4 linked regions of the Cricetulus griseus genome follow. The protein of the gene in region 3 purifies or fractionates together with the protein of the main gene of each other region. This does not show direct contact. Links are inferred from orthologs where the notes say so. Each region holds a gene or a part of one and is shown on either strand. Other genes may lie near its edges.

What was found. The genes of interacting proteins can lie anywhere in the genome.
Region 1: the proteins of Ddx39b (region 3) and Dbn1 purify together in Homo sapiens (affinity purification with mass spectrometry, with the first as the bait; 3 studies listed by BioGRID). This does not show direct contact. The link is inferred for Cricetulus griseus from reciprocal best matches to the Homo sapiens genes DDX39B and DBN1.
Region 2: the proteins of Ddx39b (region 3) and pre-mRNA-splicing regulator WTAP purify together in Homo sapiens (affinity purification with mass spectrometry; 3 studies listed by BioGRID and IntAct, with this or other methods). This does not show direct contact. The link is inferred for Cricetulus griseus from reciprocal best matches to the Homo sapiens genes DDX39B and WTAP.
Region 4: the proteins of Ddx39b (region 3) and Lima1 purify together in Homo sapiens (affinity purification with mass spectrometry, with the first as the bait; 3 studies listed by BioGRID). This does not show direct contact. The link is inferred for Cricetulus griseus from reciprocal best matches to the Homo sapiens genes DDX39B and LIMA1.

The regions. Positions count from the first base shown.
Region 1 is NC_048596.1:274,473,042-274,477,305, forward strand, and holds the start of Dbn1 (drebrin), read right to left. Parts: upstream 2,801-4,264; 5' UTR 2,656-2,800; coding exon 2,570-2,655; intron 1-2,569. UniProt on the Homo sapiens protein: Actin cytoskeleton-organizing protein that plays a role in the formation of cell projections. Required for actin polymerization at immunological synapses (IS) and for the recruitment of the chemokine receptor CXCR4 to IS.
Region 2 is NC_048595.1:288,069,238-288,073,248, reverse strand, and holds the start of pre-mRNA-splicing regulator WTAP, read right to left. Parts: upstream 2,801-4,011; 5' UTR 2,669-2,800; intron 2,613-2,668; exon of another isoform or gene 2,469-2,612; intron 1,963-2,468; exon of another isoform or gene 981-1,962; intron 1-980. UniProt on the Homo sapiens protein: Associated component of the WMM complex, a complex that mediates N6-methyladenosine (m6A) methylation of RNAs, a modification that plays a role in the efficiency of mRNA splicing and RNA processing.
Region 3 is NW_023276806.1:231,768,226-231,772,464, forward strand, and holds the start of Ddx39b (spliceosome RNA helicase DDX39B), read left to right. Parts: upstream 1-1,439; 5' UTR 1,440-1,596; intron 1,597-2,262; exon of another isoform or gene 2,263-2,285; intron 2,286-2,339; exon of another isoform or gene 2,340-2,415; intron 2,416-2,753; 5' UTR 2,754-2,878; coding exon 2,879-3,089; intron 3,090-3,637; coding exon 3,638-3,765; intron 3,766-3,974; coding exon 3,975-4,067; intron 4,068-4,239. UniProt on the Homo sapiens protein: Involved in nuclear export of spliced and unspliced mRNA. Component of the TREX complex which is thought to couple mRNA transcription, processing and nuclear export, and specifically associates with spliced mRNA and not with unspliced pre-mRNA.
Region 4 is NC_048595.1:396,312,528-396,316,666, forward strand, and holds the start of Lima1 (LIM domain and actin-binding protein 1), read right to left. Parts: upstream 2,801-4,139; 5' UTR 2,663-2,800; intron 1,510-2,662; exon of another isoform or gene 1,494-1,509; intron 1-1,493. UniProt on the Homo sapiens protein: Actin-binding protein involved in actin cytoskeleton regulation and dynamics. Increases the number and size of actin stress fibers and inhibits membrane ruffling. Inhibits actin filament depolymerization.

The sequences.
Region 1 (4,264 bases), on a different chromosome or scaffold from region 3:
CATGACGCTAACACAGACATCTGTTCTAGCCCCAGACCCTGCTGGACAACGTCTCTCTACCATACCACAAGCACCTGGTGACCGGCTGGTGGGAACTGGGAGGCAAGCAAAAAAGTAAACGTGGATGAGGGGACTGTAGATGTGCTCCCCTCGGTAGCATTAAACCCTGGAGACAGTGACTGCCACAGACTGTCATGTCAGTTCTGTGAAGGCAAAACTCTGACTCTGCTAATACCAACTGCTGTCTCCGTCCTGGGTCCAGCTCAAAGTAGCACCACTGTAGGGATTTGTAATGTTGGCACAAACTCTTATCAACCATCTAAGCCACAGGCACGAGACTAGGGCAAGGTGAGAGTGGGACTTCAGCAGCTCCAGGCCTGCTAGGAGTGGAAGGCTGAGGACCAGCATACTGTCAGGGAGCTAGAGCTGGAAAGGCCCTGGAAACCCTGCAGGGGCTGTGCCCAGCCCCCTCTTCTCTCAGAAGCTTCAGAAGAGCAGGAACTTCTCACACAATGAATCATATCGTAACCAGGGTGCTGCTGGCCTTTCCAAATGCACAATCTGACTTCCCCAGTGTTCTGCTTCCAGCGCAAGGCAGTGGTCCTCTGAAGAGACCCTGCCACCTAGGGCTCAGCTTCCCTAAGCTCCACCACACCCACATTCAAAGACAGACACCAAATACTCATGCCCCAACATTTGGACCCAGGACCTCCTCCTGCAGGGCCTGCACTGAACCTTGGGACCTCACTCAGTTCCTGGCTGTGTGATAAGAGCTGGGAAGGATCATGCCATCTTCTGTAAAATGTGATCTTCACACCCTGTTCACAACATGCTGTTAGGCCCTTGGGAGGAAGCAAACATATATGCATTCCAGGGGTGTATATGTGCAGCTGTGTGTGTGTGTCCCACACACCACCCAGATGGGGCTGACGCATGCCAAGGATGCATAACTAACTCCCTTTGGCCACATGGATGTTGCTGGTGGTGAAAGCCCCGGCCTCTGCTGAGCAGGATGCGGGGCAGCAGGAGTTGGATAGGCCCAGCATTGTACTGCCAGTGTCTGCTTCTGAGGGGTTAAGAGATTTGGGGTGCTGCCTACACCCCCCCTAGACTGGGGAGGAAGGCAGGGTTCCAGTCAGTGTTTCTCCTCAGGCAGGGCCATATCCCCAAACCAGCTCTTCCACCAGTCCAAGCAGGCCACTTGCCCAGATTGCCTCCCATGATCTCAGCCCCCCAGGGACAGGGCTGGGACAACAATGTGGGGATTGCCTGCTTGGCCTGTTCAGCCTCTCCTATAACTGACCTGCAAGACACAAGAACTTGTCTCCTGAGTCCATCCCTCTGGGCCTGGCTGCCCGCCAGTGCTGCAGTACCATGGCATGGAGGCCTGGCTATTTTGTTCCCTCCTCCAGGCCCCCTACCTGGCTGCCCTCCCAGAGTGTGGCCAGCCCAACTGGGGTCCTCAGACCAGCCCCAACTCAAGAGGAGCCTACTTTCTGTCTGATGAGGTGAAGAGACCTAAATGCAAAATGGAGATTTGCTCCCTAAGAAGAACACTTGGGGGCTGTGTTCAGAATGGGGCATCAAACCCCTTGGTTTGCCTGACACCCTGGGGCTTCAGCCGCTGAGCAGGTGGTTTAAACCCTCCTCCACCTCAGGGAGGATAACAGCTGGGGAGGGGGAGAGACGCAGGTCCACTCATACCACCCTAATAAGAGGCTGACAGCCCCTGGTAGAGTGAAGAGGCTAGGGTCCCAGAGATCTACTCATCGTGGTATCCCTCAGCGGGGGCTCCCACCATGCTTCCTCCTAGCTGGCCTTCTAGACAAGCTGCCTGGGTCCATGTCCTGGGTCTCTTCCTGCCTAGCTGCCTAGTCCCTAACGATCTCCTCCTTCAGAAGGGGAGAGAAGGGCTCAGCCCTACCTCTCTTCCTCTGCGATCCGGGAGGGATAAAGGAGTCACTTCGTGGTTGCCATGTGGCCGTGCGCCCCTTTCTATCACACCCTAACCTAGATGTGGGGGGAGACAACCCTGAGAAGCCCCTGGTGGGCGGGGCACGCTGGCCCCCGGCCCTCTGCGCTCCTCCCCCGCCCTAGCTTTCCTTTGTGCTGTGGCCGGCCAGGCTGCTCCAGCTCCGCTAGCTCGGTCCCCGCCCCGTCCCCACCCGGTCCTCGCCCGCTCGAAGGTGGCGAAGGTGCCCTTGGCTGGCCCGTGCACACCTGTCCCCCGGGCCCGTGGAGGGAGGCTGGGGGGGAGGGGATGGGCTCCGGCGGGGCCGTAGGACCCCGGGCCCCACCTTTGAGCTCCACATCCGCGTGGCAGGCGTCCGGCTCCCGCGCCCCCAGTGCGCCCAGGGCGGCCTCGGGGCTCCCCGGCTCGCGCGCCCCGCCTGGCCCGACCGGCCCCTCCCCCGGCTCGCACAAAGGCAGCCCCTCCCCGGCTCTCCCGGGCCGTTGCACCATTTCGGGAGATCCCCCTCCCTTCCCGGTGGCAGAGCCTCCGAGAAACAAAGGCGCGGTGGCGGCCTGGGGACAAAGGGCCGGGGGCGGGGCGGGGGCGGGGGCTCACCAGTCGGCCGCGCTTTCCTCCCGGATCACCTCCTCGTACGCCGCCAGCAGCTCCAGGCGGTGGCCGCTGAAGCTCACGCCGGCCATGCTGCGGGCCGGACCGAGACCGAACGGACAGACGCACGGACGGACCGACCGACACCGGAGGGAGGGGATGAGGGAGTCGCCGCGGCCGCCTCAGAGCCTCTGCAGCGCTGAGAGCGAACGAGCCAGCGGCCGGGGGAGGGGAGCCGGCCGGCGGGGGCGGGGGGCGCTGGCTCCGCCCGGCTCACTCCCTCGGCTCGCTCGCTCGGTCCTAGCGCCGCCCAGGCCCGGCCCAGGGGGAGGTCCACCCCCCCTTCCCAGCTTGCCCCGGGGCGCCCCCATGCCCCTTGCCCCGCTGACCTGTACCCGGACCTTAAGCTCCCACTCTGCTCCCAGGGCCAGTCCCATGAACCTGCCTTGTCCTAGTCCCCAACCTAGTAGACACCCTCTCCCTAAATTCTAAACCCACCAAGATTCCAGGCCCAAGTTCACCCCTCTCTGCCTCCCCAGAATAACTGGTCCATTGAGCCCCTTGATTGATTTCACTCCAGCCGAACCTCACCTCATTCCCAGGTCCATCCCACCCTACATTAAACCCATTCTGGTCCTTACCCTGTCCCTGCTCCAATTTAGTTCCCCATCAAGCCAAGCCTGGGTTGTCAATAGCCCATTTCCTCCGTGAGGACCCCTCCTGGTCTACCGTCGTCACTCCCAGGGCCAAAAGCAGTCCTGTCCCAGCTAACACAGCACACCCCCTCTAGCTATGCCAGCCTGTCTGAATCCCGCTCAGACCCCTCTCCCTGACCATACCCCTCCCTCCATCCCTGCCCTATGACCTTGTCTCAGCCACTCTACCCCACCCAGCTCATCACCTGGCCATCCCAGTCATTTTCTTCCTCCTGGATGGGTGTCTAGGAAATCATTCTTCTTTTCCAAACACCGTACCTCCTAAGGAACTCCAAGTAGGGTCTCCAAGGCAGAGAACCTCCAAAGACACTCCAGGGTGAACTTTCTGGCGTCTGTTATTTCCCAAAGCTCTGAGCGCAGAAAGGCCTGGGCCTCACAGAGTCTCCTATGGGTAAGTGGAGGCACAGAAAGGCCTCCCGGCACTCTCTCCTGTGGAATGGAGGACGCTGGAGCCCCCCCCCCCCCCCCCGCAGCCCGCAGCTCCAGAAGACCTGTCCATCACCATCAACCCTTTCCCCAGGGAGGGGCCAGAACCCAGAGCCTGGCCAAGCTCTACTGGGGCTAATCTGTGAAGAGGAGGTGGTTTCAGTGAGTAGTCTCCTGCTCTGATTTGGTCAGTCATCTAGCCACGAAGCCAGTGTGTACGCTCACCGCAATGCTTTGGACTGGGATGAAGGGGGGAGGCTTTAAGATCCCACATTTCACAGGCCCTGCCTCAGGAGCTCTGGGTGCCCACCACACACACACACACACACACACACACACACACACACACACACACACACACACACCATCCCAGTTTCCCCACCACTCACACCTATAATGAGGCCGGGGAATGGTCAGTCCTAGGCCCATGGGCCCTAGATGCAGGTGGGATGTAATGGTGATGACGGAGGTAGGAAAAGAAAGGGTCAGAAGCCAGAGTGGGGTCAGAGCTTGAGTCTGTGAAGAGTGCCCTCCTGGGGAGCGGGGAGGCTTAGAGGTT
Region 2 (4,011 bases), on a different chromosome or scaffold from region 3:
AACACTATGATCCTAAGTTAGGCAACTGAGCAGACTCTGGAGAAGGGAGAGCACAAGCCAATATAACTTATGCAAGAAGACATGTATATGCATCCCTGAAGTAAATCACACTGGATATAAGGAAACCATTACCTGACAGTGCTGGGCCTTCAACACTGCAGGACCAAGGGACTAGTTACAAATCAGACCACTATTTCAGTCAGTCATACATGCTTAGTCCAACAAGTCACTTAACTCTAGGCTTCAGTTTCCGTATTAGTAAAAGAGAGTAAAACCAGTGTTGCTTGGCGAATAACATGCTGCATACCTCTGTTATTGGTGGCATAAAAAAACACTATTCAAACAAGGATTGTTTGAACAACATAGAAAACTTAATAAACATTAGGAAAATAAACTCCACCAGCATCTATCTTTAAGGCAGAGAACATTGACAACACTGAATTCTAGTCTGATGGAAGAGTCTCACTAAATCCAATAGCTTATACAACTAGGGGAATACTGAAAATTTTTCATATATTCAGTCAGAAAACAGGAGATAATTAAAAACAAGAGTAATGTTATCTTTATCTTACATCTTGCTTTGCTAAAGGTTGACTAAAGACTTCTAAAGAGCATGATACAAGTAATACAACTGTTATTACATAGGACTAATCAAGACGGCCAACAATATTTTCAAGGGGAGTCTATAACAACAACAACAAAAGACAGGAGGGACCTTGAAAGCTGTAAAGTCTGTCTAAATACATCAAAAGGCTATTATAGCTGGGCGGTGGTGGTGCATGCCTTTAGTCCCAGCACTAGGGAGGCAGAGGCAGAGGCAGGCAGATCTCTGAGTTCGAGGCCAGCCTGGTCTACAAAAGCTAGTTCCAGGACAGCCTCCCAAGCCATAGAGAAAACCTGTCTTGAAAAACCAAAACCAAAATAAAAGGCTATTACAAACAGTATATTATATGGTTGTGCAAACACATTCATCTGCTTAGGTGTGAAGAACTAAAGCACTCTGCCCAAATTCTTAGAATTCAACTTCAATCACATCCAAAGCCACCTGTCGGACTGCAGTCTACTCAACTCCCTGATCAGTCGTGACTGAATGAATGAATGAATAAACCTAGCCACCTCGAAAATTCGTCTTCATTTCAAACGTCTGTTTACCTATGAGAAAACCTAATGTTCAGCTTTAGAAAAAAACATGCTATTTTAAAAGATTTTATGTTTATGAATGTTGTACAAAATCAGCCACTTGAAAAAAAAGATTTTATATTTATGAATGTTCTGTACGTATGTATGTGCACCACGTGCAGGCCTGGTGCCGCCCACAGATATCAAAAGAGGAAGTCAGAATCCCAGGAACTGGATTCAAGGATGACCATGAGCCATCATTTGGGTTGTGGGAACTCATGTCCTTTAGAAGAGCAAAAAGTGCTCTTAACTACCGAGGTAACTCTCCAGTCCTAATGCTCAAAAATGCAAGTTAAAGGGAAGAAAAAAGACAACAACAAAACACCAGAATTTGTAATAACAGATCTGTGACTTCCACTCATCTTTCGGATCAATAAAATTAACTAAATGAAAAAAGCTAGGGTGAAAACGACGTAAAGGGGCATAAATAAAAATTATGAACAAATGAAACTTAAATGCTGCTTGAAGCTGTAACACGCCCCCGATCTTTACAACCAGTTAAGTGTTTCAGTCCTTTGGGGTCAAATTAACCGACTTCCTCATTATCAAACCAAGAACTGGGGGCCGGGGGAATAGCTCAAAGGCAGAAAGCTGGCCTGGCATGCACAAGGCCTAGGATTCCATCCCTAGCCGCCCCCCCACCCCGTAAGAAAACATGTACACAAACACAAAAACTTAGACCTTTTCCCACTGTGCATTCACTCTTATGGAAAACTGTTTTAAGTTTGTTCAAATCAGCCTCACAGAGATCCAAAACGAGACTGAAAGTTGACGAAAAATGTCTCGAACCTGTCAAAAATCAATTCTCCTCACAATGCATGCACTTATTTAAAAATGGAAGTCCACGGGAGAACGCGGCTGCAGCTACAAGCTATTGCGTGACGTGAAATTCGGTTTCAAAAAACCCGAACCCTTCTGGTCTGTGCCCGGCAGAACTCGTCGGTACCTCTGGGTCGCCGGGAACCCGCCCTGGGAGGTGGGAGGGGGCGACAGAGGCGGGGAAAGGGCCGGCATGGCCAGTCAGCCCCGAGAGGGCGGCCTCCGGCCGGCCTCCCCGCCTCCCCGGCCGCGGGAACGCCCGCCTCGTTCCCGGCCGCCAGTGGCGGAAGTAAAACGGCCCCGAGGCGGTGCGTTGTCCCCGCGGGCAGCTAGCCGCCCGGGTTAACGGGAAGCCGGCGCGGTCCCAGGCCGGATCGCCCTTCGGGCCCGGCGTGCGTTTCCCCGGGTCCTGGGCGGCCGCGCCTCGCTCCCCGGCCCCGCAGGCCCTCGCCGCTGCCGGCCGCACCTACCTTTCCAGCCCGAGGCTGCGCGGGCGCCGCCAGTCACACAGGCCGAGGCCGCGCCGCCGCAGCCCCGGCGCTAGCCTTTATTTGCGGGTCTCGCAGACACAAAATGGCGCTGAGGGAGGAAACCAGGCCCCGCCGCCGGCCCCGCCCCGAGCGCGCCCCGCCCGAGCGCCCCGCCGCCGCCCCGCCCGTGGCCCACTCACCCGATACGCGCCTCTCGGGCACGGCCTCGGTCACCCCGCCGGGCGCCTCCGGCGAGGAGGGGAAGCGAAGGGAGTCTGGCCGGCCCGCTCGGGGCCTCGGGGCGTGGAGGAGCCGCCGCAGCCAGCCGCCGCGCCCAGGCCGCCCTCCGCGTCCCGCACCTGCCCCGTGGGGGCTCTGCAAGCTCAGCCGGGCCGGGGAGGGAAGCGGCCGGAGAGAAGGGCGGGCCCGCGAGGTCGGAGGTCACCCGCGAGGCATCTCGGGACGGCGGCCGCCGCTGGACGCGCTCGGCCGGGCCACCTGCGGCTGCAGCACGGCCTGGGCGGAGGAATCCGAGCAGGCGGCTCGCGATTGGCTGGTTCGGGACACACAGTCCGCGCGGGATGCTTCCGCGCGCCGGCGCCGGAACGCGGAGACAGCGGCTTCACGCCGGGGCGTCCCGCGTTCTAAGTTTAGGGGGACTTAGAGCCGCCGCTCCCCGCGGCGGCCGCCCGCTTCGCTCCCCTGGACGGTTCTGGGCGTGAATCGAGGAGCAGGGAGGCTGCGCGCGTGGGCAGCTCGGGAGGGGCCTTAGGCTGCAAGCCCGGGAAGGCAGCCGGGTGAGGGTCCGGGGTGTCCGAGAACAGATTCTGGAGATGGAACACTCCAGGAAGACCGACAGCCATCCTGAGCACAGCAAGAACGGCGTGACTTCTCAGATGGGACGCCGTTCTTAGGCTTGCTGGGCTTAGCCAGCTCCGTGAGAACTGCTAATCCCCAGTGAAGGTGTCCTGGCTCAGGTGATTTATGAGGGTACCATGACAGTATAGACCGGGTGATAAAAAGAGCCACGGTGTAGTCCCACTAGGCTAACTGAAAATATTGCACTTTACATCGCAAGGCCTTGGGAAACTAAAGAAAATGGGGAAGGAGGTTAACAGATGACTCTCAGAAAGAGAAGATCCTTTACCATGGGAGGAGGATCAACTTTGTTTATAACGGAAATAAACATTGAAATCCCATTTCCTGGAGAGAATGCAGGCATTAATAGTTACCGACGGTGGTGGCCCATGCCTTTAATCTCAGCACTCGGGAGGCAGAGGCAGGCGGATCTCCAGGCCGGGCTGGTTTACAGAGTTCCAGGACAGCCAGAGCTGTTACACAAGAAACCCCGTCTCAAAAAACCAAACAAACAAAAAGTTATTTGTTACTTTGGAATGAGTCTGCATACTGTTTACGTGAATAAAGCAAGGAGTAGAAATACATGCACACAAATGACAAAGTAGTTGGAGTTTTTCGTCCGGATCAGGATCAGCTCTGTACTGCAATCACTTCCCAAATAACTACTCAGAGACATACTATTAAT
Region 3 (4,239 bases):
CCACACTGGCCATTCTGAACACTGGAGAAAACCACGGTGTGATGACAGCTAATTGCTCCAGCTCCTGAAGGTGTGGCCTCAGCCAGGACTGTTTACAATAGTTGGTTACTGGATTTTTTTTTTTGCCTTCACAAGCCTTGATGGACTCTAGATGACACTCAGTCCCCATGTCATGGTCTCCCACCCACCCCACTCCCATGGTATGGTGGAACTTCCTATAGCCCTGGAGCAGAGGATGTGTGCTAAAGGGGCAATGTCCTGACTGGTGCAAACACAAGCCTTGATTTGCACGACTTTGCTGTGTTGGTGCAAACATCCTTTGCAGGCTGTAAAGTAGAAGTTTGACTCAGTTGGGGGGCTCAACGGGGATAAACCTCACTATGTTACTCTCCTCAGTGCTACTACGTTAGGTTCAATAAAAGGCCTCTCCCGAGGGGTGTTTCCTGGCCTTTTAGGAACAACAGGAAGAAAGAGGTGGCCTAGAGCCTGCCGTCTGGCTTACTACAAGAGTTCCTGGGAACTTCAAAGCCATAGGCCCCTGGAGCTAAAGCATTTCCTACTTTACCAGGGGCCGAGGAATCCCCACCTACTCCTAGGCGGTGGGAGGGGGGCGGCTGTCAGATGCTGAGGGTTGCGGACGAGGGTGCCAACTTAACAGCTGAGTAAAGTGTGCTAACAGGGGAAGCTCGCGCTTATAGTCGGCAGGACATCGCTCCTCGTGTATGCAGCATCTCAAAGAAGGGAGAACCACGTGTTTAGAGGGGGAAGAAGGCCCAGGCTGAACAATGGAGCCGCTGTGGTGGGACTAAGAGCACTCTGCCCTAATTAATAACCATGGAGCCGCGCGTTGGTGGCGCACGCGTTAATCCCCGCACTAGGGAGGCAGAGGCAGGCGGATCTCTGTGAGTTCGAGGCCAGCCTGGTCTCCAGAGCGAGCGCCAGGACAGGCTCCAAAGCCGCACGGAGAAACCCTGTCTCGAGAAAACCGATGATAACGACAACAACTATGGAAAGCTGCGAAGCCCTCAAACGCACCGTTTATTTTGTTAACGCGCGGGCAGAATGCAAACCTCCATCTCCTAAGTGGCCGCCTTGCCGCCGCCATTTGGGGCAGCTCCGCTCGTTCCCAGCGCAGCCGCGAAGGGCGTGCCCGCCCCCCCACCTCCCCCGGCCCCGGGAGCCTGACTGAGCTCGGCACCCTCAGGTCACCTTGGGTGCCAGGCTAAGGGCGCCGTGAGGACGCGTCCCGCTCGGCACGCAGACTCCGCGGTGCCCGAGGGCAGCCTGCGGGGAAAGGACGAAGGACGCCGCGGTGAGGGGGCGGGGAGGTGCGAGCCCGCGTCGCGCTCCGGTCACCGGCGGCGGCGGCGGCGGAGTCGGAAGACCTTTTCCGAAGGCACCCCCGAGCGGGCGCGGCCGGAGCCTCCAGGACCGCCGGCTTCCGGCTGCCGACTTCCGGTTTCCGGCATCGCGCGCCTGCGCCCTGGCGGCCGGGAAGGCGGCAGGCCGGGGGGGAAAAGCGCCCGGGACCGGAAGTGAAGGCAGGTTCCCGCCTGCGTCCCCGCCGCCGCCGCCATACGCGCTCGCAGTGCTTAGGTAAGCTGGGGCCTTGCGCGCCATCCGCCGCCATCCGCTCCGGCCCCGCCGCGCCCGCGCGCGCGCCCCTGATACCCGTCGCCCGGGCGGCGGCCTGGCCGCTGCGGCTCGGTCGGGCGCGCGGTGCCGTCGTTTTCGTCCCTTTCTGAGCGAACCTCGGTGGGGAGCGGGGAGACGGGGGCGACGATCCAAAATGGAGGCCCGGGCCGCCATTGTGTCCCCCGCTTCCTGGGTGGCCCGTGGGTCCCCTTCCCGCGCGGGCCGCAGCGGCCGGAGGCGGCGCTGGCGGGAGGGCGGGCCCGGCGCGGCCCGCGGCGGGGACGAGCAGCCGCCAGGGCCTCTGCTTGCCCGCTGCGGCGTCGGCGCTCCCGGAATGCTCACCTTCGGGGAGGAGCGAGGCTGGGGCGCGCCAGACGCTGTCAAGGCCGCTTGGCACCAAGTCCCAGCCTGAGGGTTGCATTTCCCCAGCTGAGAGCCTGCGGCTTTGAAAGCCCACCCTTGTGGCGAGCGCCTCGCGCGTGGCCGGGCAGGCATTAAAATGTAACTGTCTGCGCTGCCGGCTTCTGGCGTTGTTTGCCTGCTTTTTGGCCTTGAGCCCCTGGCGCCCCTGCTCCCGCGGTTAGGTGCAGCGGGCCCGCCTCCCCGCCCTCCGTCCTTCAGCTCCTGCTCCCCCAGGACTGGGGTCCCAGGTGAGCGCCTCCAGCGCGGCACGCAGGTGCCGCTGGACAGGGGAGTAAGTAGCAGCCACGTGATGTTTGCAATGGGAAGTGAGCGCTCCGCGCAGTGCTGACCTTCATCTATCACCCTTGACTGATGGCTGCTGGGGGGACCAACACCGTGGGGCCACAGGGAGAGCGCAGTCTGAGGTCCCCTCCTGTCCCACGCATTGTCACCCTCCCGCGGGTGGCTTCGGGCTCATCTTTTCACGGTCTCGGGAGTTGCTCCTCTTGGGTCAAAGTGCGAGCCCAAGTCTGTCCAGCAGTCACACCCGAGACCACTCTCCATTTTTTCTCGCCCGGTGTTCGTTTTCTCTTACTTTTCTTCCAGGGCAGAGGTTTGTAGTTGAGGGAGAACACGAAGAAAGTGAGGGTGGGCGAGAAGTCCCTACGTGACTGATGAGCTCTTCTTTTTTTTTTTTTTTTTGTTCTCTCTCCCAGCTCTTCTGTCGGGAAACTGGTGTCTCTTCCCTTGCTGTTCCTCAGCCCCCTCTCTCCCCCTTGCTTTCTCACCTTCTCTGGGACCACTCACCCAAAGACCTCCCTTCTCCCCTGCCGGCCCAATTATGGCAGAGAATGATGTGGACAATGAGCTCTTGGACTATGAAGACGACGAGGTGGAGACAGCAGCAGGTGGAGATGGGACGGAAGCTCCTGCCAAGAAAGACGTGAAGGGCTCCTACGTCTCCATCCACAGCTCCGGCTTTCGAGACTTCCTGCTCAAGCCAGAGTTGCTCCGGGCCATCGTGGACTGTGGCTTTGAGCATCCATCAGAGGGTACATTTTATTGTTGGGCATAGGGACCTCATGATGCATCTTAAAGATGGGATTTGTGTTTAGGGTATATAGGCCAGGCAATGAGAATGTACCCAGATGTTAGCGCTAGAAGATGCTTGTTAGCTTTGATCACACAGGATGCTGTTTGTCCTGTGCCCAGGTTTTCTTGTTTGCTTGATCGTCTTTCTGACTGTTTGGCTGGAGTTTTACATCCAGTATTTTGGGCCAGGCCACCTGGGGTCTTAATGATTGCTCTAAAGTTGCTGGCTTCTGGGGCAAGTACCAAGTCCTTCATTTTGTCCAAGGTTATAGAATGCCAGGCACATGGAAGGTAAGCTGTTGGTAGGTGCAAGAGGGTTTGCGCCAGGGAAACCTGAAGCTAGGATGCAGTTGAGACTTGATTTGGGTGTAAATGTGACTAAGGGGACAGAGAGGATGGGTCAGTCTGAAAAGTGACAGGGACCAGGCAAAATCTGGAGAATCAACTCGAGGAAAGGGGTTTGGTATGGTGCATAAAGTCTCTCTCTTTCTCCCCTTTTTCCTTCTAGTCCAGCATGAATGCATCCCACAGGCCATTCTGGGGATGGATGTCCTGTGCCAGGCCAAGTCAGGCATGGGGAAGACAGCAGTGTTTGTCCTGGCCACACTGCAGCAGCTGGAGCCAATCACTGGGCAGGTGTGTTTGAGGCAGTGCTGCAGAGGGCTTTGAGGCCGATACACTGAAGGCTGTTTGTGGCTACATAATGCTTACAGCAGCAAGGCTTACTGTTTTAAACCTCAGATTTGATGTCACAAATAACTTGACAGATGCTGCTGTTGACAGTCACTCTGGAGAGAGGGTGACAAAGGACTGATAGGGTGTTGTCTCCATTTGTTCCCTTGAAGGTGTCTGTGCTGGTGATGTGTCACACTAGGGAGTTGGCTTTTCAGATCAGCAAGGAATACGAGCGCTTCTCAAAGTACATGCCGAATGTCAAGGTAAGGGTGAGGCGCTTGGGACAGCGGAGGTCCTGGGAGCTTGTGGGGTAACAGTTGACTGTCCTGAGGCATGGAGCCGCTGTAATTGATGAGTTCCTGAAGGCTGCATAGGAGCCTTTAGTACAGTGACAGGCTCTTCTGATCCACAAAGTCAGTTCAGGGGCCCTGGGCT
Region 4 (4,139 bases), on a different chromosome or scaffold from region 3:
TTTCTTCTTATTATTATTTTTTTAATATTCTATTTATTTTTATGCGCATTGTTATTTTGCCTTCAATCACGTCAGTGCACCAGATTCCCTGGAACTGGAGTTACAGACAGTTGTGACTGTCATGTGGGTTCTGATAATTGAACCTGGGTCCTCTAGAAGAGCAGCCTATGCTCTTAACCACTGAGCCATCTCTCTAGCTCCAAATGAAGAGTCTTCAAAGGCTACCATAAAGTTCAGATATCAGATCATCAAAATTCTCCACAGAACCCTCATAGGCTCCAACCTCTTCCTCTAACAGACCTAAGACAAAATCTATTTCATAATCTGTGTGTGCATGTTCTGGGGATGGGACACAGGCTCTCACATGCTAAACCCACTCTACCACAGAGCTACACCCAGAGTCAAAACAAGACATTTAAAGAGTATCTAAGCAGTGAGAAGTGTCTCTGCTGTTAATAGAATTGTTTTCATTTCTGAAGCTTTCTCTTCCTAGAATTATTAGGTTGAAACTTGGCTCCACCTTTAACTAGAGTCGGGAACAAAGCCTGAATGTACCAAGTCAAACAAAGTCACACAATGAGGTAATTTTTACAAAACGGCACTGCTTTGCTAACCATGCCACACACTGTCTCAGCCCACATACTCCATGGTTCAGGGACCACCTGATAACACTATTTCTGCATCTAACACATTAACAATAAATAGCTACCTATCTACTTAATTGCTGGAGAATTAAACATGTTCCAACCCCATTTTCAAAGGGCCATAGAGCTACTGACCAAAGACAAGGCAAGAAATATGAGTGGTAAAACACACAGCAGTTGGGAGTGCTTTTCTAGCATGTGCACGCCCCAGGGTTTGATACCCAACACACTTGTGGGTTTTCCGAGGGTAATAATGGCAAATGATTTCACCAATACTGTAAGTTGTATCTGTGGTGTTGCCTAACCCACTTAATTGTAGGCTCTTTTAGGGTAGGGACTTTGGAACTTTGAATCTACAAAAGAACTGACATAAAATTCACTGAGAAAAAAAGTGTTTTGTCCCCCCTCATTCCTAACATAATTTAGTACCATGTTATATTATTCTGTCAATGCAAATATATGTGTGTGTGTGTGTGCAGACCTTTAAAAACAGGTAACCTTTTCTAGGCTGGCAAGATGGCTCATCAGGTAAAAGGTGCTTGCCACGAAGCCTGACACCTTGAATTTAATCCCTGGAACTCACATGGTGGAAGAAAAGAACAGACTCCCACAGTTGTTCTCTGACCTACACACAACACACATGCCATGGCACATACACATACACACCCAATAAATGTAAAACAGTAACTGAAAAAAAAAAAAGAAAAAAAAAAAAAAAAAAACCTTTCCAGGCTGGCAAGATGGCTCAGCATGTGAAAACATTTACTACAAAAGACTGATGACCTGAGTTTGATCCTCAAATCCCAAGGTGGAGAGAACCAACTGTCCTCTGACCTACAGAAACCTGCCATGGCACACTGTGCTGGTATTCTCACACACACACACACACACACACACACACACACACACACACACACACACGGATATGTATGTATGTATGTATGTATGTATGTATGTATGTATGTATGTTTGTATGTATATCCAGGGATGGTGAAGCACCTTTAAACCTAGCTTTTGAGAGGCAGAAGCAGCCACATCTCTGTCAGCCTGATCCATATAGCCAGCTCAAGGCCAGCCAGGAACTTTTTAAAGAAGTAGAAGGGCGAGGAGGGAAGGCGAATTAGTTGTTTCTTGAAAACAGAAAACTTTTCTACCAACTTTATAGCTTTTTGAAGGTTGTCTAAACAAGAGCACACTTTATCCATAGAATTCGGAAAGGCCTTCTGTAGACGCTAGCTAGAATGTATATTGCACCAGTAACTATGTAGATAAAAAGTATTCCACTTACCCACTTAGGTGCAAAAGATGATCTCTCTTCCAAGGGGCACTGTCTTAAAAAGTGATAACCCCAGAGCCTTTGGCTAACTTGTAAAGTCAACGGAACCATTTGGATTAGGCAGATTTTTGAAAGCTGGAATTAGTTGCAAGACAATAGAAGGTCGGTATCTCTCACCAGGATCAGCTAAACTCATTGTTCTGAGCACCAATAAGGAGGCTAGGACGGGCGCCAGATGGTTCACTCCTAGCACCCACAAATTCAAGCGTTAGTGTGTGTGGCATGGGGTGTACAGTTACCTAATATTAACACCTACGGATGTGAGTGACCAGCGGGTCCCAGCTCAAGTACATGAGAGGGATTTGAGTAGGACAGCAAGTAGAATCTGCTATGTTAAGTCTTTATCAGAGTTCATCTGGAGGAATGGAAGGGAGAAAAACGAGAGGGAACGGCCGCATGGAAGAAGGAAAGAGTTGCTGAATTATCTCCCTGAGAGGGAGTTTTGACTTTTGCTGAACTGCCACTTTCCCTCCATCACGTGGGAGACCAAGGGCCGGGGCAGCAAAGACTCATCCCGGCGCACTTCCCAGAAGGGCGAGTGCAGGGTGGGAGGTTCCTCCATTGGCGACCCCCAGGGGAGAAGTTCCCGCTCCTGTTGCACCCCGTCTCAAAAGGCGCGGAGTGTAGCCGGGACCTCCGAGTACACACAGGCTCCGTGGATGAGGGGAGAGGAGGGTCTTACCAGACTAGAAAGTCGTCGGTGCTCGGCGTTGCACGGCCACAGTCCCTACGCTCTGCCTAGCGCACCTGTCGCGACTGGGCAGCAGCACCTACAGCTCGGCGGCCCCGCCCCGTTCCGGCTCAGGGCCACGCCCCGTCCACACCCCCAGTGCGGAGGCGCGCACGCCTCCCGCCTCTCGAGGGGCCTGGGGCGAGCGTGCTCGCTCCCGGTGGCGTATTCGACTCGTGATCGCTAACGTCGCGGTAGCCCTGTGGCGTTGCGGGAGGCGTGGCTCCCGTGACTGCCTGTTGTTTCCTCTCTGGCTCACCCTTAGCTGTCTCTGATTAGGGATTGCCGCAATTTGATTTGAGATTCACTCAGAAGTCTGGTCTAAGTTCAGCGGCAGGGAAGTTCCTGGTGCTGTCAGGGTAAGTTCTGTGCAGAGGTATTTTACAAGAGGCCATGACCTGTGCTGCAAAGAGCTGTGAATGAGGCCTGGCTCAGACTAGCATTAAGTCACTTCACCTTAGTAGACCTGAGTTTCCTCATGGAAAGAAAGAGCTGGAAGAGAGTAGGTGGTGTCCAAAATCCTCAAGAGCTTTGATTTTTTTTTTCTTTTCTTTTCCTTTTTTTTTTTTTTTTTTTGAGACTGGAGGTGGGAGTCATCTGATGTAGTTGAAGTTGGCATGGAACTCACTGTGTAGCTTGAAGATCATCACTTGGAGCTGTTGACTCACAACTGCCCGTTACCTTCTGATCCTGGGGGATCTGACACCATCTTCTGGCCTACATGAGCACCTGCGTGCGTGTGCGCTCTCTCTCTCTCTCTCTCTCTCTCTCTCTCTCTCTCTCTCTTTCTCTCTCTCTCTCTCTCTCTCACACACACACACACACACACACACACACACACACACACAAATAAAGAGAAATGCAAATCTTTTTTAAAAGAGGCTTGTAAGAGAAGGGCAGTCGCTCATGCCCTAGAGTGGACTCGAGCTTCTCAAAAGTGTCTACACGAGCTATTTCTGTTGCTGCACTTAGGATATTAGGAGCTGTAAAGACCATGAGGAGGCAAAGCATTTGGCCATCTAGCTCTCAGATACTTTCTCCCGCCTCATTCCTCTGTGTGATGAACCCTTTGATAGTACCCTTTCCCAAAGTAAAGTGTCAAATGAAAGGAAGGAATTCTGAAGCTTTTCATGTAAGCATTGATAAGTGTTATAAGGGCTAATGGTATGATAGTCCTCAAGACAGGACACGATGATGTATGACCTTCATCCTAGCAGCCGTAAGTCTGAGGTGGAATGGTTGCCTGGACAGCCTGTTTTGCAGAGTGACAATGACTAACAACAATAGAACTACAAAAAGCAGTTGGTATGTTGTAAGGAGATGAACAATTTCCAATGACAGAACAGCCTCTTCATTCAATTATCTAACCTAGACCAACTTCTGGATAAATGTACTTAAGAAAAACTCTAGGAAAAACTCAACACTTTAT